Caenorhabditis elegans: one gene and its partner. The protein of the gene in region 1 purifies or fractionates together with the protein of each later gene. This does not show direct contact. Each region holds a gene or a part of one and is shown in the gene's direction. Other genes may lie near its edges.

Region 1 (6,331 bases):
TGACACGCCCATCAATTAGTTGGTGCACCTCACACATTCGAACTCCATATGCAGTTATGGCGTAAGAATTGATGACTTTGACCTATGAGGAACTACAGTATACCGTATTCCCTCTAATATTTTTACACCTCTTTTCTCAACTTTGGCAGCTCATATCTCAGTAGTAGTTTGTTCTATAGAAAAGTTGTCAACTGATAAAAATTTAGATAGATGTTTTTTCTGTAGTTTGTAGTTTGTTAATTATTTATATGTCCAAAAAGGAGATATGAGGTGTCAAAGTTGAGCAAAGGGGTGCAAAACTAATAGAGGAAATACGGTATACGGTATTCCTTCCATTTAGGTATCGAAAGAAGAATAGTATTCTAAACGCCGAGGTCAATATTCCAAAACACTCAACAGCTAAATCCATCATTCTAGGTATAAGGAGTAATTGTAGTGGTATGTAATTAGTGTTGTGATTCATATTAAAATCTATTACATTTTCAGGATGTGACATAGAAGTAATAAACTGTCGTGGAATATTTGTTGAGATTGAATTTTCAAATAAAAAAGTAACTATATTTTCCGATTTCGTTGACCGTTCAATAATTGCTGAATTCAAAGCACGAAGAAAAGTAGAATTTGGAAAGTTTTATAAATTCTCAATTCATTTACTGGACTCGCATCTCTTCATAAAATTCGGAAATCATCATGTGATGACTTCAGTGGAAATTCCAGAAGAACAATTAAATAAGGTTATTAAAATAATCAATTGAATTTCAAATATAATGTTTTCAGACAAATAATGACACTTTATTCGTGATTGGCACTGGAAATTTTGGCATCTCCGAATGGGATAATATTTCAACAGATTATTTTCACTGAGGCTGATTAATTACATTCAAAAAGTATTTAATATTGCTTGGGCATGTTTCTATTAAAATAAATGTACCATTTTATAATTTACCACATTATTGGAAAATGTCAAAATCAATTGCCACAAAAAACTAGATTCAAACTTCCGCGCAAATGGTACCGCAACGATGCTCCGCGTTTCGCTAAACAACGCGCGCCTCACGCGCGCAGTTTGAATTGAGAACGTTTTCCTGTTTTCTTTTTTTGTCTGAATTGTGTTATTGTGCTATTTATTATCCCTTTTTTGTACATTTTCAAAATTAAAGTATGGCCTCTGCTGTTGGAAAAGGAGTGACCGCTTTCAACACCATCAAAAACATCATTTCGGAACTGAAAAAGGTCGACAAAACATTCTCCCCGAATTCGGCACAATATAAATACCTCATGGAGCAAATGAAAGCCGACCAGGTTACAACAAGAAGATATTCAAAAGCCGAGAACGAGTCAGAGAGCGTTGCAAAACTCTATTTGAGCTATATTAAAGGGTTCGTTTGTTTTATGAGAATAAGAAAGTAATAATCAATATCCATTCATTTTAGAACCCGACAGCTTAATGAACTTCAAGAGAGATATAAGGGTGGCGAGAAGAGTGTTGAAGAGGCTGCTGCTATTGTTGGATTGAAACTTCCAGAACAAAAGAAACTTTAAAATACTTAAAATTGTTATTTCTTTCTCGAATAGATTAGATTCCTGTTTTCTTTTCAATCAAAATAAAATACTTCGTTTTTAAAATACTATTCAGGTTTTTTATAACTTCCTTATGGTTTTCGTACCATTCTATATCTTTTTTATAGTTAATCATCGCCAGAGCATTGGAATTGTTGTTTCAGGTACAAATGACTAGGAATGCTCCTCCAGGTCAAGAATCGACAGATTTAGCATGGCTCGTCACACCCGCAAAAGATCTTGTCGAGAACTTCTCAATCGACGTGTTGAAAGTAAGGATAATTTTTTTTCACGGTTGTATCTTTTCTTTTTCGGTAAATAAAATAAATAATTGCTCGACTTTCAGGCACTCGCCGGATACCTCGAGGTTATCAGACAAGAAAGTGAAGACACAGATAATCAGGTGGATGCAGCGACAACTTACAGATTGTTCGATTTTCAACGAGCATGCCGGATTATTCAAGGATCGTGTGCCGTATATGGTCGAAAAGTAGATCATGTCTATGAACTGACGATTTCAGTTGTGGATTTAGTCGAGAACAAAGGTCAAGATGATGGAAACACCGGCAGTAGACGAGGAGCTGGAAGACGGAAAAATTTTAATTTGGGATCGACGAATTACGACTTGGCTGATATCGACTCACTGAAACAGGAAGCTCTAGCAAATTTTGAGAAGACAGTAAAAGAAGAGAAAAAATCGATTGATGCAGTGAGAATGGTCGAGAATGCTGAAGTTATAGAGTCTCAATATGAGCGAAAAAGCTGTTTAGTAGCAAAGCCAACCCAGTTCATGTTCAAGCTCAATTACGGCCAGCTCAATCGTACTGATGAACAAATTTTGAATGCAAAATCTCGTCCTGATGTTATCGGAAAAGTAAAAGATTTTGAAATTAAAAAGTCGAAAGTTAAACACGATCAACAAATACTCTACTCCCATGATTGTTATCGTGGAAATTTAGACCAATTCACACTACCTGGTGCTCGTTGGATGCCAGATAATAAGGAATTGGCAGCTAATTTTGGTGTTGCTGATTTGGAAGTTGAGTTAGATTTGGAGCAAGAGCATGAGAAGATCAGTGCATATGGACCGTTTAAGGTAAGTGGTAATAATTCGATGAAACATTTTCAAAACTTGATTTCTTCAGGATCCTCTCTCTGGCCGTGAAGTTGTTCCACCTCCTCGTTGGTTCATAGAGCAAGAAGCAGTTCGTCAAAATCAAGAAATTCAATCTCGTGCCACATCGAGAGCCATCACAATTGCAGCTAAAACTCTTCGAGATTCTCAAGGCTTTGGATCTCAACCAACTCGTCTCTCACAACCATTTGTTGAACGACATCGACAGAGTAATCATTTGAATGATTTCTTGTCATTTGTGGAGGGAAGAGTTAATAAGAATCGCCCGAGCACTCATCTTACCACTGGCTTAGTTGATATGTTCGTTGATAACTTTGGATCTGTTATGCAAAACGATGAACCAAACACTAGTAGAAGACCTGATGAGAATTACGCGCCCATGGACTTTGATGATGATTTTGGTGGTGGAGGAGACGATGACGACGATGATTATATTCGAAATTTGTCCAGAAGGGATGAGAAGCGAGCACCGGCACCATGGGACGAGCTGGATAAAAATCATATTATTTGGTACACGGGAGACGAGAATCTGCCAGGTATTTGTTGAATTAATGGGATTCTTTCGGTATTTTTTAGATTATATATATATATGAGCCGTGGACCGCACCTCCGGCGCGGCCCCCGACTTCTGGAGCTGAAAACCAATTTTTCTGAAACTACCGTAATCATACAGTACTCCTACCGTAATCATACAGTACTCCTACCGTACCACCATTGTACCACTACAGTACCCCGACTATATCCCTACACTAACCCCAACTCACTATCCCTCCAGAAGCTAAAACTTCGCAGACTACAAAGACTACATAGACTACAAGCTATGGACAAACGGAATAAGCGCTTTATATATAGTAAATGATATATTTCAGTCGTTAGCAAGCCGGTAAAAAAGATCACGAAATTCCAACCAAAACCCGCTGAAATGTTGGCTAGGAAGCAACGACGTGAGGAAAAGATCAATAAGTCTCGACGAGACGAGTTCATGGAAACTCACGACTATCTGCAGGATTACTACTATTGGAGAAGTGCGGCTCGTATAAATCCGATTAAGGACTGGAAGATAGAATCACTTCGTACTGCTATTCTAGCCGAGAAGAAACGAAGAATCAAGGAAAAGACTGCAAAAATCCGAGAAGCTCGTATCCAGAATATGCAGAGAAAACGGACAGCTCGTGTGATACCCGTGGAGCAATTTGAACCGGTAACAGAGGATATTCCAACGTCTAATAGAAGAACCCTCGGAGCTGAATGTAAGAAATTTCAATTTTATGAAATTTAAACTGAATTATATTTTTTCCAGATGACGACGTAGTCGATGAAGATCTTGCTGCCGAAGTCGAGCTCTCAATGTTTGGAGGTGGGTTCGATGACGACGAAGAAGACGTGCGGCCACGTGGTGAACGGCCTCCTATGGCTCCAAACAACCTAGAATTCGATGCTCTTCAAACAGATTTTGATATTCCGCCTGCTGAATATGTTCCATTAAGATTCGAGGATATTGATGATGCCGAACTGAACAGTGTTATCAATTTACCTGGAAATTTGCTCATCGACAGTAAGTTATTTGCAAAATTTTATAATAAAATTTTAAAATTAATACTTTGAAATTGTACTCTCTCAAGTCTATCAAGTAAATTTTCTATTTACAGAAGCTTTACCATTGCTCAAGAAGTTTGCTGAAAATCGAACAGATCGCGAACAAATGGCTTACGAGATGGCTAAAGCATATGAAGATGTGGATGTTGCCGTGTCAACTCTACAAGAACATGTTGACAAATGGCATTCTCGAATGGAACCAATCCTCGAAGAAGGAGAAACTCGAAAAGAGTATGATGTATGTTTTAGAGTATTTAATCTTAAAGGTGGAGTAGTGCCAGTGGGGATTTTGTCTAAATACACTTATAGTGATTCAAAACAACCGAATATCATAATAAAACACTCCAAAAAGTTTTAGATTTTTCATAATTTCCGGTCAAAGTTTTGGCAAATTGCCAAAATTTTGAAAAATATGAGCTTTTGAGGTTATTTAAAGAAATGTCGTATGTTTCGACCCCTACAATGTTTTAATACAATTAATTTAAACAAAATTAAAACAATAAAAAATGTAATAAATTTTTTTGGTCGACTTCCAAACATATGAGTGGCAAAAACTGAGTAATTGCCAGTTTTTGACAGTAAATAAAAAAATTTTCAAAAGTTTTATCATGATATTTGGTCATTTTGGAACCAAAGGAGTGGTTTTTAACAATTTCCCCACTGGCGCTACTCCACCTTTAATATTCTGGTCAACCACAGTAATTTGAAAAGTCAAAATGTCTAAATGTTTGAATTTCTCAATTATAATAATTTTCAGGTTCACGCAGTTGGTCGTGCTGTCATTGGCCAATACGATATTGAAGGTGGCACGAAACGTTTACTAGATTTGGTTATGGATCGTCCATGGTACGAAATCAGTCGATACTTCCTTTCGTGCCTCTTTATGTGTAATGTCGGAAATGTCATGGTCAGCGAGGACATGGAACTGCCACTCGAGGAAAGAATCAACTCGATGAAAATCACACTACTCAAAAGAGATATGCATTGTGAAATGTTCAAGGAGGCTGGCGCTCTTGATGCCTAATTTATAATTATTGTTTTTTTTGCATTAAATCTCCCGAAAACCATCTTAATTTATTTAAACATTCCTCATTGTCTCTACTTGTATCTCGATTTCTGGCTATACTTTCATTTTACTGTATCAATTAATTAACTTCTAGATGCCAAGTATTTTTCTTCTGTTCGTTATGGTACTTTACTGACTGTACAATAACTTTTTTTCCGACGAATTACCACTATTTCTTTGATTGTTTTTTAATTACGTCCTTCATTTTTTATTCAATCTTAAAAATAAATCGACTGGTTTTAATATCAAAGGCCCAAATCATAATTCAATTCCTGGTGCGTGGCATATGCGTTCATGAATGCAGCGCCATGTTCCAAAGATTGGGTGACGGATTGAACAACATCTGAAGAAATCATTTTCTGGAACCATTTTGTCAATTTAGGATATTCTTCTTCTCCTGGGAATTCAATTGTTGGTAAATCGACAACTCCATCCAAACTAGCTGACCACCAAATTTTCTCAAAAAATGGAAATGATAAGTAGTCTGGATAACCTGGTTGAGATCCTGAATAGTTTGAATTTGGTCAAAAAATTGTATCGATTAATTGAACTCACCAGCATAAAAATCATTGGCCAAGAGATTTTCAGCTTGTTTCAAAACTTCAAAAACTTTTCGCTGCTTTTCATCTTTCAAAGTTCGGTCTCGCATGACGGCGAAGAGCAATGGAACTGCATGGGCTACCTGAATTGCTTATTTAAAACAAAATAGTTTAGAAAATAGAAAAATTCAAGATCATATTTGAATTTCCTCCAAAATGAATAGCCACGCCCACTCTCAAACCAATCAGAGTTTTGGACTCCAAACACTCATCTGATTGGTTGAAAAATGGGCGGAGCGAATAACTGATTTTTTATATTAGAGGAAGTTCAAAAAGGGGATTAGAAACTATGTATGTTTCCTTCCATTTTTAAAGGTATTGGTATCGCTGCGCCTTCAAAACAACTGTAGAGACGTGCAGATCTTTTTTTTTATT
Region 2 (7,792 bases), on another chromosome or scaffold:
TACCATGGTGGTGTACAAATCATAAATTCTGTTCAGTGAAGCACTTTGTTCCACAGCCAATTGTAATTGTCTATTATAGAACATTGATTCAATTGTGAATGCTGGCATCTTTACTTCGTTTGCTTTGGATTCATAAATTGAAACAAGATTTTCTGCGAGGTTCTCATTTGCAGCTCTGTAATGGATTCCCATTGCTTCGACGAAGAAAAGATTACAAGTGGATGTAATCGGCTTGAGAGTTTTTCCAGTAAGGCTATTCTGAATTTCATTGAGCCAAGATATAGCCACGGTGAGCTGGTGATTATAGGTCTTCTTTTGCTCGTCACTCTCTCGTTTTTCATTATCCAATAATTTAAAATCTATGATGTTTTTGATAATTAAATGAAAAGATGACAGTGCTGGTTCAACTCCAATCTCTTTCATTTCTCCAATAATTTCAGTGAACGCCTTCACACGATCTTCAAACTTTCCAGCTTTTGCAGCAGACGACAGTAATGCATTGAACGTGAAAATATCGGGTGTCATTCTGAGGGAAATCATTTCAGCTACCAATTTCTTCCCGACACTGTAGCTTGAAGCGCCAATTAATCCATTGAACGCTTCTCGGTAAACTTTTCCTTTTGCAGCTCGATGCTCCTTGTACAATTCTCTAGCTCTTTCCAAACTAGAATGATCAGAAAACTTGCATAGACCAGCAATCATTATAGAAACGGTTTCATCAGTTTTTGGGAGAGTTTCGAAAAGAAGATCAGCGACTGCACCCGATTTCCATGAGGATGTAGAATCTTCTCCAAAATTGCGCATTCCAACAAACTCCTCCCATTCTGCGAAAGGTACGTTTGACGAATTGTAATAGGTTACAAGACGGAATAGTTCCAGCTGGACTTTCTCGCTAACGTCAACGTTCTCTGATCGCATGCGTTCATACAAAATACACGAGTCTTTTACTTCTCGACTTGAAATCATTTTAAGCAGGTTATTCTCTGTCGGTTCAACTTGAAGGGGATCTGCTAGATGTCGAGGACGGAAAACCGGGAGCTGAGGTTGATCTCTGTCAAAAGCGAAGAGGGTTGGCCATTCTGTAGCTAGTTCTCGTGCAGCTCTTTTGCCAAACTCCTAAAATTATCAAACTTATTCTAATATTCCGGCAAAAATTTTACCTTCGCCATAAAATAGGTCTTTTTCGTTGACTGCGTGGAAGGAATGGTAATTGGATCGTCAATGTAGGCAAAATGTGGAGCAGTTGTGTCCGGGCCAACGGTTTCTGACAAGGCATTTAACAAATCTGTTGGAGATCTCTGGAAATATAGAAGTTCAAGTATGAATTTTTAAAAATAGTCAACCTCGATTGCTGGCTGTATTGTCAATTTTTGAGATAATGCAGGCTCAACCGACGATAAACTGCGAGTTATAACTCTGCCAAGTCCCATGCGGCCGATCATTGCCTAAAAAATATTAAGTTAAGCAAAGAAAGATGAAAAACACTCAAAACGTAAAAAGCCTAAGTAAGAACCAAAAAAAAAAATCGGGTGTTAAAATGTTTTGTCCGCAGTATTGCGCGCCGTGTTTGCACCATGGCCTAGAAACACAATGGCCGTGGCCTAAAAATCTCAACGCGGTAAATTCAAACAGAGATCCTAATTTTTTTTCCTAAATATTTATTTTTAACGTTTTAAATTACCCTTATTGAAATGATTCATTTTTTATTTTAGATTCAATGTCGAATATCAACGAAAAAGATTTATCGGAGTTTCTTGAGTCAAATCTCCGGTCTCTCAACGATATTGACGATGCCGTTGCAACTTCTTCAGCAGAATGCAATTATGAAGATTATGAAGAATTCACAAATTCTGTTGACCTGACTTTTTTCGAGCAAGATCTGAGTGGAGTTCTGAAAGAGCGTATGTTGAGAATTTTGTTAGCTTCACTATTCAAAATTGTTATTTTCAGTAAAGAAACTTGCCGAAAGCGTTGTAATCTCGGGAAAGAAATGCGATATTCGGAATATTTTTGAAGAAAGTGATGTGGCGACAATGAAGTTTAATCTATTCGTCTGGTATTTTCTCGAAAACGGACAGAGATCTGACAGTTCGGAAGAGGATGTTGATAAAGGAGTTTCTGCTGCCAGTAGTTATATTGCTATGTGCTCATTGCCTGGAGCAATCTCAGATCTTTATCAAATTGGTTTATACAATGTAAGTATACGGGTTTATTACATGTCATATAATCAATGTTATTTTTTCAGCAATGTCTGAAAATTATTCGAAACTGTTGTCATACAGTTAGGATAGGAGAGACTGTCGTTACAAAAAAATCAAGTGGAGCAAAGAAAAAGAAAGCGGGTGGAAAGTCAGACGAAACAAATGTGGATGGAGAAATGACTGTAACAACGGGAGCAGCAGATCCTATAATTGGTCCCCCTCGAATTGCTGTCGATTCGGCTGAGCGATACCTGCATCATCTCACAACCCAGTTATTTGCTTTTCTGCATAGCAACACCTTCAGTATTGATACACCAACACTCATGAGCACACTAGAAGTCGTGGAAGACATCGGCCGTTTAGATCTTGACAATCGAACCGCAGGAAGAGCGATTCGAGCGAATTCAGTCCACGAGTTCCGATCGTTGGAGCGATTTACGGATCGATACTGTGCATTTGTGCATTCTTTAGTAGAAAGCAAGTATAAAACAAGAGCAGAAGTGGTGGGATTAAAATTAAAAAAATTACAAAACAAATTAATAAGGTTAGTACAAATTTAGGCTTACGGAAGACTTATTCGCCCTCGCCTTGCGCTGATGCCATATCCAGATGAAAGCAATAAATCTTCAAAGATTTCAACGGAGAGAAAGAGATCTGGTGAATTACATGTCAATTTAATTCTATCACGAATTTCAAGAAATCCCGAAGCAAGAGAGTTGAAGTATATTCAGACAGTGAGCAGTTTCTTCGAAATATTTTATTAACTTATTTTTAAATTTTAGGTTACTGTGATGGTGTATTCACAATGTCCAGATCTAGCCGAGTTTCGAACAAATATCGCCACGTTTATCCACAAGATTCTCGAAGCTCTTCCATACACATATACCTATGATTTTGTCCAGTTCATGAATGTCTTGTTCAAAGGCCGCGGAGCCGGAGTAAAATCCTTGTCTACAGAGCTCTCGAGTATTCTCATCAGCAGTTTTGACTTCACCGCACCTGACCCAGGAGCTATTCCAAACTTGGACGCAGAGCAGAATGAAGAAGAGGATGAGGAGGAGGAAGGGGAAGATGAAGAAGAGGAGGAAGAAAACGAGCAGGATGATGTTGCAGTCAAAGAGGAAGAACAGTCGGATAAATCAGACGAAGAGAATGATGGCGATAACGAGGAGAATGTTTCTAAAAAGAAAGAAGAGAAGAAGAAAGAAAAGAAGGCGAAGGAAGTTAAAGAAGTTGGTCGAATGGATGCAATGTCTGTTCTGTATAACATCGTTTACATGGCTTGTTTGGATAAAGCTGCAGCTATGCGACTTCACGGAGCCAATAGTTTGACGAAAATCCTTCAGTCTCAATCGCATCGAGAAGCTTTCCAATTGTTCTGCGCAACAATAAATGCGGAAATGGATGAAAAGTTCGGCGCAGTGGGCGACAACCTGAGTGAAAGTCTTGAAGATTTAAATGTTTCTGGTAAAGCACCAAGTAGTAAAACAAAAAAGCCAACGGATCTACTTCTCGACGAGCAGCAAATCATTCAAAAGTTCAATAAGTTGAAACTGATGAACAAGGGAGAGACACGCGTTGAAAAGGATATAGTTTATATGATCGTGCGCCGACTATCAACTGACGACAAGGCTCCGGTCAAGAAGGCTGCGTGCTCGCTTCTCAAATCATATCTATCATATTGCGACGAAGCATCGAAATTTGAAGTTGTGCTTTCAATTCTTCAAATGTTATGTCGAGACAGAATGGTTTCAGTCAGAAAAACTGGAGCCGATGCGTTTACAGAACTTATGTTACGAGATGCAATCCTTTTCAAGTAATTGTAATCTTTGACGAAATTTAAAACAAATTTTATTTTCAGAGAAAGTCTCAGTTCAAAATGGCTTCACACCTTGATCTCGATGCTGAATGATACAGATAATGACGTCACTGAACATGCCAGAAAGTTGATTATGGTATGGGCTTAATTATTTATAATAGAAGCTTAATTTGTTTCCAATTTCCAGAAAGTTCTCACTCCCTTACTCGAAAACTCATCGGATCTCACATGGACGCTGTTAGATACAATTGAATCTGTCACCAATCACCGTCAATACCTCATGAGCACATTGAAAGATGCAGTTCGTGAAAAACTCGTCAAGCGCACAGTAATGGATTCGATGAAGCAGCACATTATTAGTGGCAGTGAGAAACTGGATGGCGCATGGATGGTGTTCTCGCAGTTGTGTGTTCAGTTTGAACAGAACGTTGATTTTGCGATTGAGACGTTCAGCAGAGTTGACTTGTCTCGAGAATCAAATCTCGTGCAATACATGATCCACGTCATTGAGAACAATATCAAGAAAATCGATGACGATACAAAATCAGATCTTGTGAACACTTTGCAAGGAACTTTTCGTGATTATTGCCTGCATCCATCTCATTCTAGAAGTATCTACCATTGTCTCGGAAAGTTAATGGACGGAATTGGTGATAGATCTCTTCGTACGTCTTTCTTTTAAATGTTAATTCAATTTTTATTTTCAGATGGAAAAGAGTTCAGCGATTTCGGAGAGACTCTTCTCATTAAATGTTTCGATACGATCGTGCAATCGTTTGAGATGTTCAAAGACAAAGATGAATGGAAACGAAATTCCGAAAGTCAAGAAAGGCTTCTATGTACAGCTCTCAACGTGGCATCTGAAGTATTTTCCTATTCACCACAACTTGTTCCGCGACATGAACGACTCGGAAAAACGCTTTCGCTGATTGTGAATTCCACGGAAAACGGTTCTTCTGATGCGTCGACAGTTAATCCAGATATGCCTTCTGTTCATCATACACGACCACCAACTCAGTTATCCGAAGTTCCATCATCACAGAAGTCTTCCAAGGGTGGTATGATGTCCCATGAAGGTGCCATGTTCAGTGATAAAGTCCGTGCAGTTGGAGTCGTCACCTTGGCGAATATGATTTTGGCGCACGATCGTCTATTGAAACTGATGCCGATGCTTGTGAAACAGCTTCAATACAATACAGCTCATCAAATTCGGTCTAATATCGTACTAGCCATTGGTGATATTTGTTCATCCTACAAAACAGATCGATATGCGCCAATGCTCGCTGCATCGTTGTGTGATCCTTCAGTTATTGTTCGTCGACACGCCATCAATCAGATTGCTCGACTAATCTCGTTTGGTATTTTTCGGTTTAATGGAGAAATCATGATCCGTATGATGTTAGCTTCTCTTGACGCCAATGAAGATGTTCGGAATGACGCAAAACTTTACATTAGTGAGGTTCTCCAATCTGAAGAGCCCAACTTCTTCCCTCTCAACTTTGTACAGTACATGATTGCACTTACGCAAGCTCGACGATTGGTTGGAGTTGGTCACGATGAAGATGACAGAGGACAAGTTGATGTTGCTATTGGAGGTGGTGATCCATTGGCTAGACCATCCAGAATTGCCATCTACACGTTCATGATTGATTCTTTGGATGATCGTTCCCGATTTGATGTGAAAATGAGCATTTGTCAGCGTATCTTTACTCCGATTGTCAATGGAGAGTACGATTTCAGCGATTACAATGTTCAATGCCTACTTGACGATGCTCTTTTGGTAACTAAATAATACAAATGTTACAATTTTATCTTAATTTTCGCATTACAGATAATGGCTTCAAACGAAATGCAAGTGAAAATGGACGTCGGGAAGAATCCTAATGAAAATGCGATGGATGATCCATCTCCCGAAGTTTTGGAAGCTGCAACCGGCTTCATGCAAAAAGTATATCTGGATCACTACATGAAAACCATCGTACCTTCTATCCTATCTCTTCGTGAATTTCTCAATCAACATCGCTCGCCGCTCCAAAGAAAGTGTCTTCTCGCGATTCGAATGATATGTATTGAACACAAGAACGATATAGACGAAATACTTCAAGACAATCGTCAATTGAAGGACGAGATGATGTTTGAATTGCAAAGAGTTAAACAGAGAACAGAGGAGGCGAATAGAATTCTCGACGAGTATTTGAAGAGAGTCGCTGAGTTTAAAAAGCAGCAGAAGAGACTTTCGAAATCGCCGGCGCCAATGGAACTCGATGCTGAGCCAGTTCAAGAGAGTGCTGAAGCTGTTGAGATGGGGTCACCTGCTAGAAGAATCGAGGAAGATCAAGAAAACGTGGAAGAAGAAGTAGAAATGAGAACTCCACAGAAGAAGAACCCGGATGCTGATGTGCCCAGAACTCCATTAAATGCTCTCCGAAGTACCACAGAAGAGAAGTCTACTCCGAATGCGAGACTATTGTCACCAAAAACTATTAAAAAGATTCGTCGCTCTCTGGGAGCACTTATTCACACTGAAATGCGCCTTAATCCTCCAAATTTGGAAGAAACCAAGATAGATGATACGACGATAAACCGTTCTAAACAGGCCGACAAGACAGAAGAGAAGACCATTGTAGAGGAGGAACCAATGGAAGAGGCAGCCGCCGAGAAAACTGTGACAGCCGAAAATGATCATGTTGATGCGGAGAAAACTGTGATAGCTGTTGAAATACCTCCAGCTACAGAAGCTGAAGAGGACGAGGTGGTCGATGTGCAATCGGAATCTAGAAGATGTATGTATATGGTTGAGCGGAAATTTGGATGAAAGGGAACTTAGCTTAGATAAATCTAATAAATTAGATTTTTTTTGCACAAGAAAAATTCTTTCGAAACTGGAGAAATAATTTTGGTTTTAATTTTTTGGTTGTTGCAAAATCTGATAATTTTGGGCATTTGTGAACTAGATACAATTCCGAGTGTTATTTTTCGACAGAAAATTATATTAATTTGTTAGTTAACGACAGGCTTTTCGCTCACTTTTGATTGAAAAAAACTACAATGCATAATCGTCGAAAACAATAAACAATACTAAAAAAAACGTCTGAATTCAAAAATTATTCCAGCTCGTCGTAGAAAAACGCCAAATTACGATGATGAAGAGTCTGTGGATGCTGATGGAAAAATATGGAAGAAGCCGAAAATTGTCAACAGTAAGTTATTTTTCCTGATTTCATTGTTCAATTTGCTGTATTTTATTGACCACGCTTTCACACAAGAAAAAATGTGTTTTAAATAATTTATTTTCTTGAAGAATCCCCGGAAAAGGAAGTCAATATTTCGGCCAACGTCACTTTGCGTCGTAGTCGTCGGGGTCAGTCAACAGAGCCACCAGTCGTGAAAGAGAATTCTAATCGAAAACGGAAATCTGTTGACGAGGAAGAGGAAAATGTGCCAACAAGTTCATCTGGTAACACTGAAAATGATCCACTGTCACGCGGAGTGACTCCGTTGATTTTCGATGAAAGTAAGCTTGGTGCAGGACGTCATTGTTCAACTCCGATTCGATCACGAGAAGACGCAGATCCAAGCGATGTCACATTCTCCCTTAATTTGTCGGCTATTACCGAAAAGGAAGACTTGAAAAACAGAAGTAAGGTATTCACAATTTCTTGAATTTACAAAACGCCTTAATTTTACAGAAAGTCAAGCTTATCACCTTCACAATATCTTCGAAGAGGATGAAGAGGAAAGCTGATCAATGTCATTGTATAAATCTTCCATC

Evidence for each region.
Region 2: the proteins of kle-2 (region 1) and hcp-6 purify together in Caenorhabditis elegans (affinity purification with western blotting; 2 studies listed by BioGRID, with this or other methods). This does not show direct contact.

Annotation. Positions count from the first base shown.
Region 1 is NC_003281.10:7,939,993-7,946,323, forward strand, and holds kle-2 (Condensin-2 complex subunit kle-2), read left to right. Parts: upstream 1-1,724; 5' UTR 1,725-1,730; coding exon 1,731-1,832; intron 1,833-1,906; coding exon 1,907-2,656; intron 2,657-2,705; coding exon 2,706-3,231; intron 3,232-3,564; coding exon 3,565-3,945; intron 3,946-3,995; coding exon 3,996-4,250; intron 4,251-4,344; coding exon 4,345-4,529; intron 4,530-5,048; coding exon 5,049-5,315; 3' UTR 5,316-5,601; downstream 5,602-6,331. Other genes in the region: C29E4.10 (Putative galactocerebrosidase), read left to right, coding at 1-61, 341-438, 487-734, 778-864; C29E4.12 (Protein FMC1 homolog), read left to right, coding at 1,162-1,379, 1,434-1,542; gsto-1 (Glutathione transferase omega-1), read right to left, coding at 5,603-5,862, 5,913-6,039. UniProt on the Caenorhabditis elegans protein: Regulatory subunit of the condensin II complex, a complex that seems to play a role in prophase chromosome condensation and in chromosome segregation in mitosis and in meiosis.
Region 2 is NC_003279.8:5,163,440-5,171,231, forward strand, and holds the start of hcp-6 (Condensin-2 complex subunit hcp-6), read left to right. Parts: upstream 1-1,708; 5' UTR 1,709-1,717; coding exon 1,718-1,901; intron 1,902-1,950; coding exon 1,951-2,195; intron 2,196-2,245; coding exon 2,246-2,704; intron 2,705-2,761; coding exon 2,762-2,935; intron 2,936-2,983; coding exon 2,984-4,017; intron 4,018-4,062; coding exon 4,063-4,156; intron 4,157-4,207; coding exon 4,208-4,685; intron 4,686-4,727; coding exon 4,728-5,800; intron 5,801-5,851; coding exon 5,852-6,803; intron 6,804-7,133; coding exon 7,134-7,220; intron 7,221-7,321; coding exon 7,322-7,665; intron 7,666-7,709; coding exon 7,710-7,792. Other genes in the region: let-630 (Small ribosomal subunit protein mS39), read right to left, coding at 1-1,116, 1,161-1,298, 1,344-1,442. UniProt on the Caenorhabditis elegans protein: Chromosomal protein which is recruited to mitotic chromosomes by hcp-3 (CENP-A) and hcp-4 (CENP-C).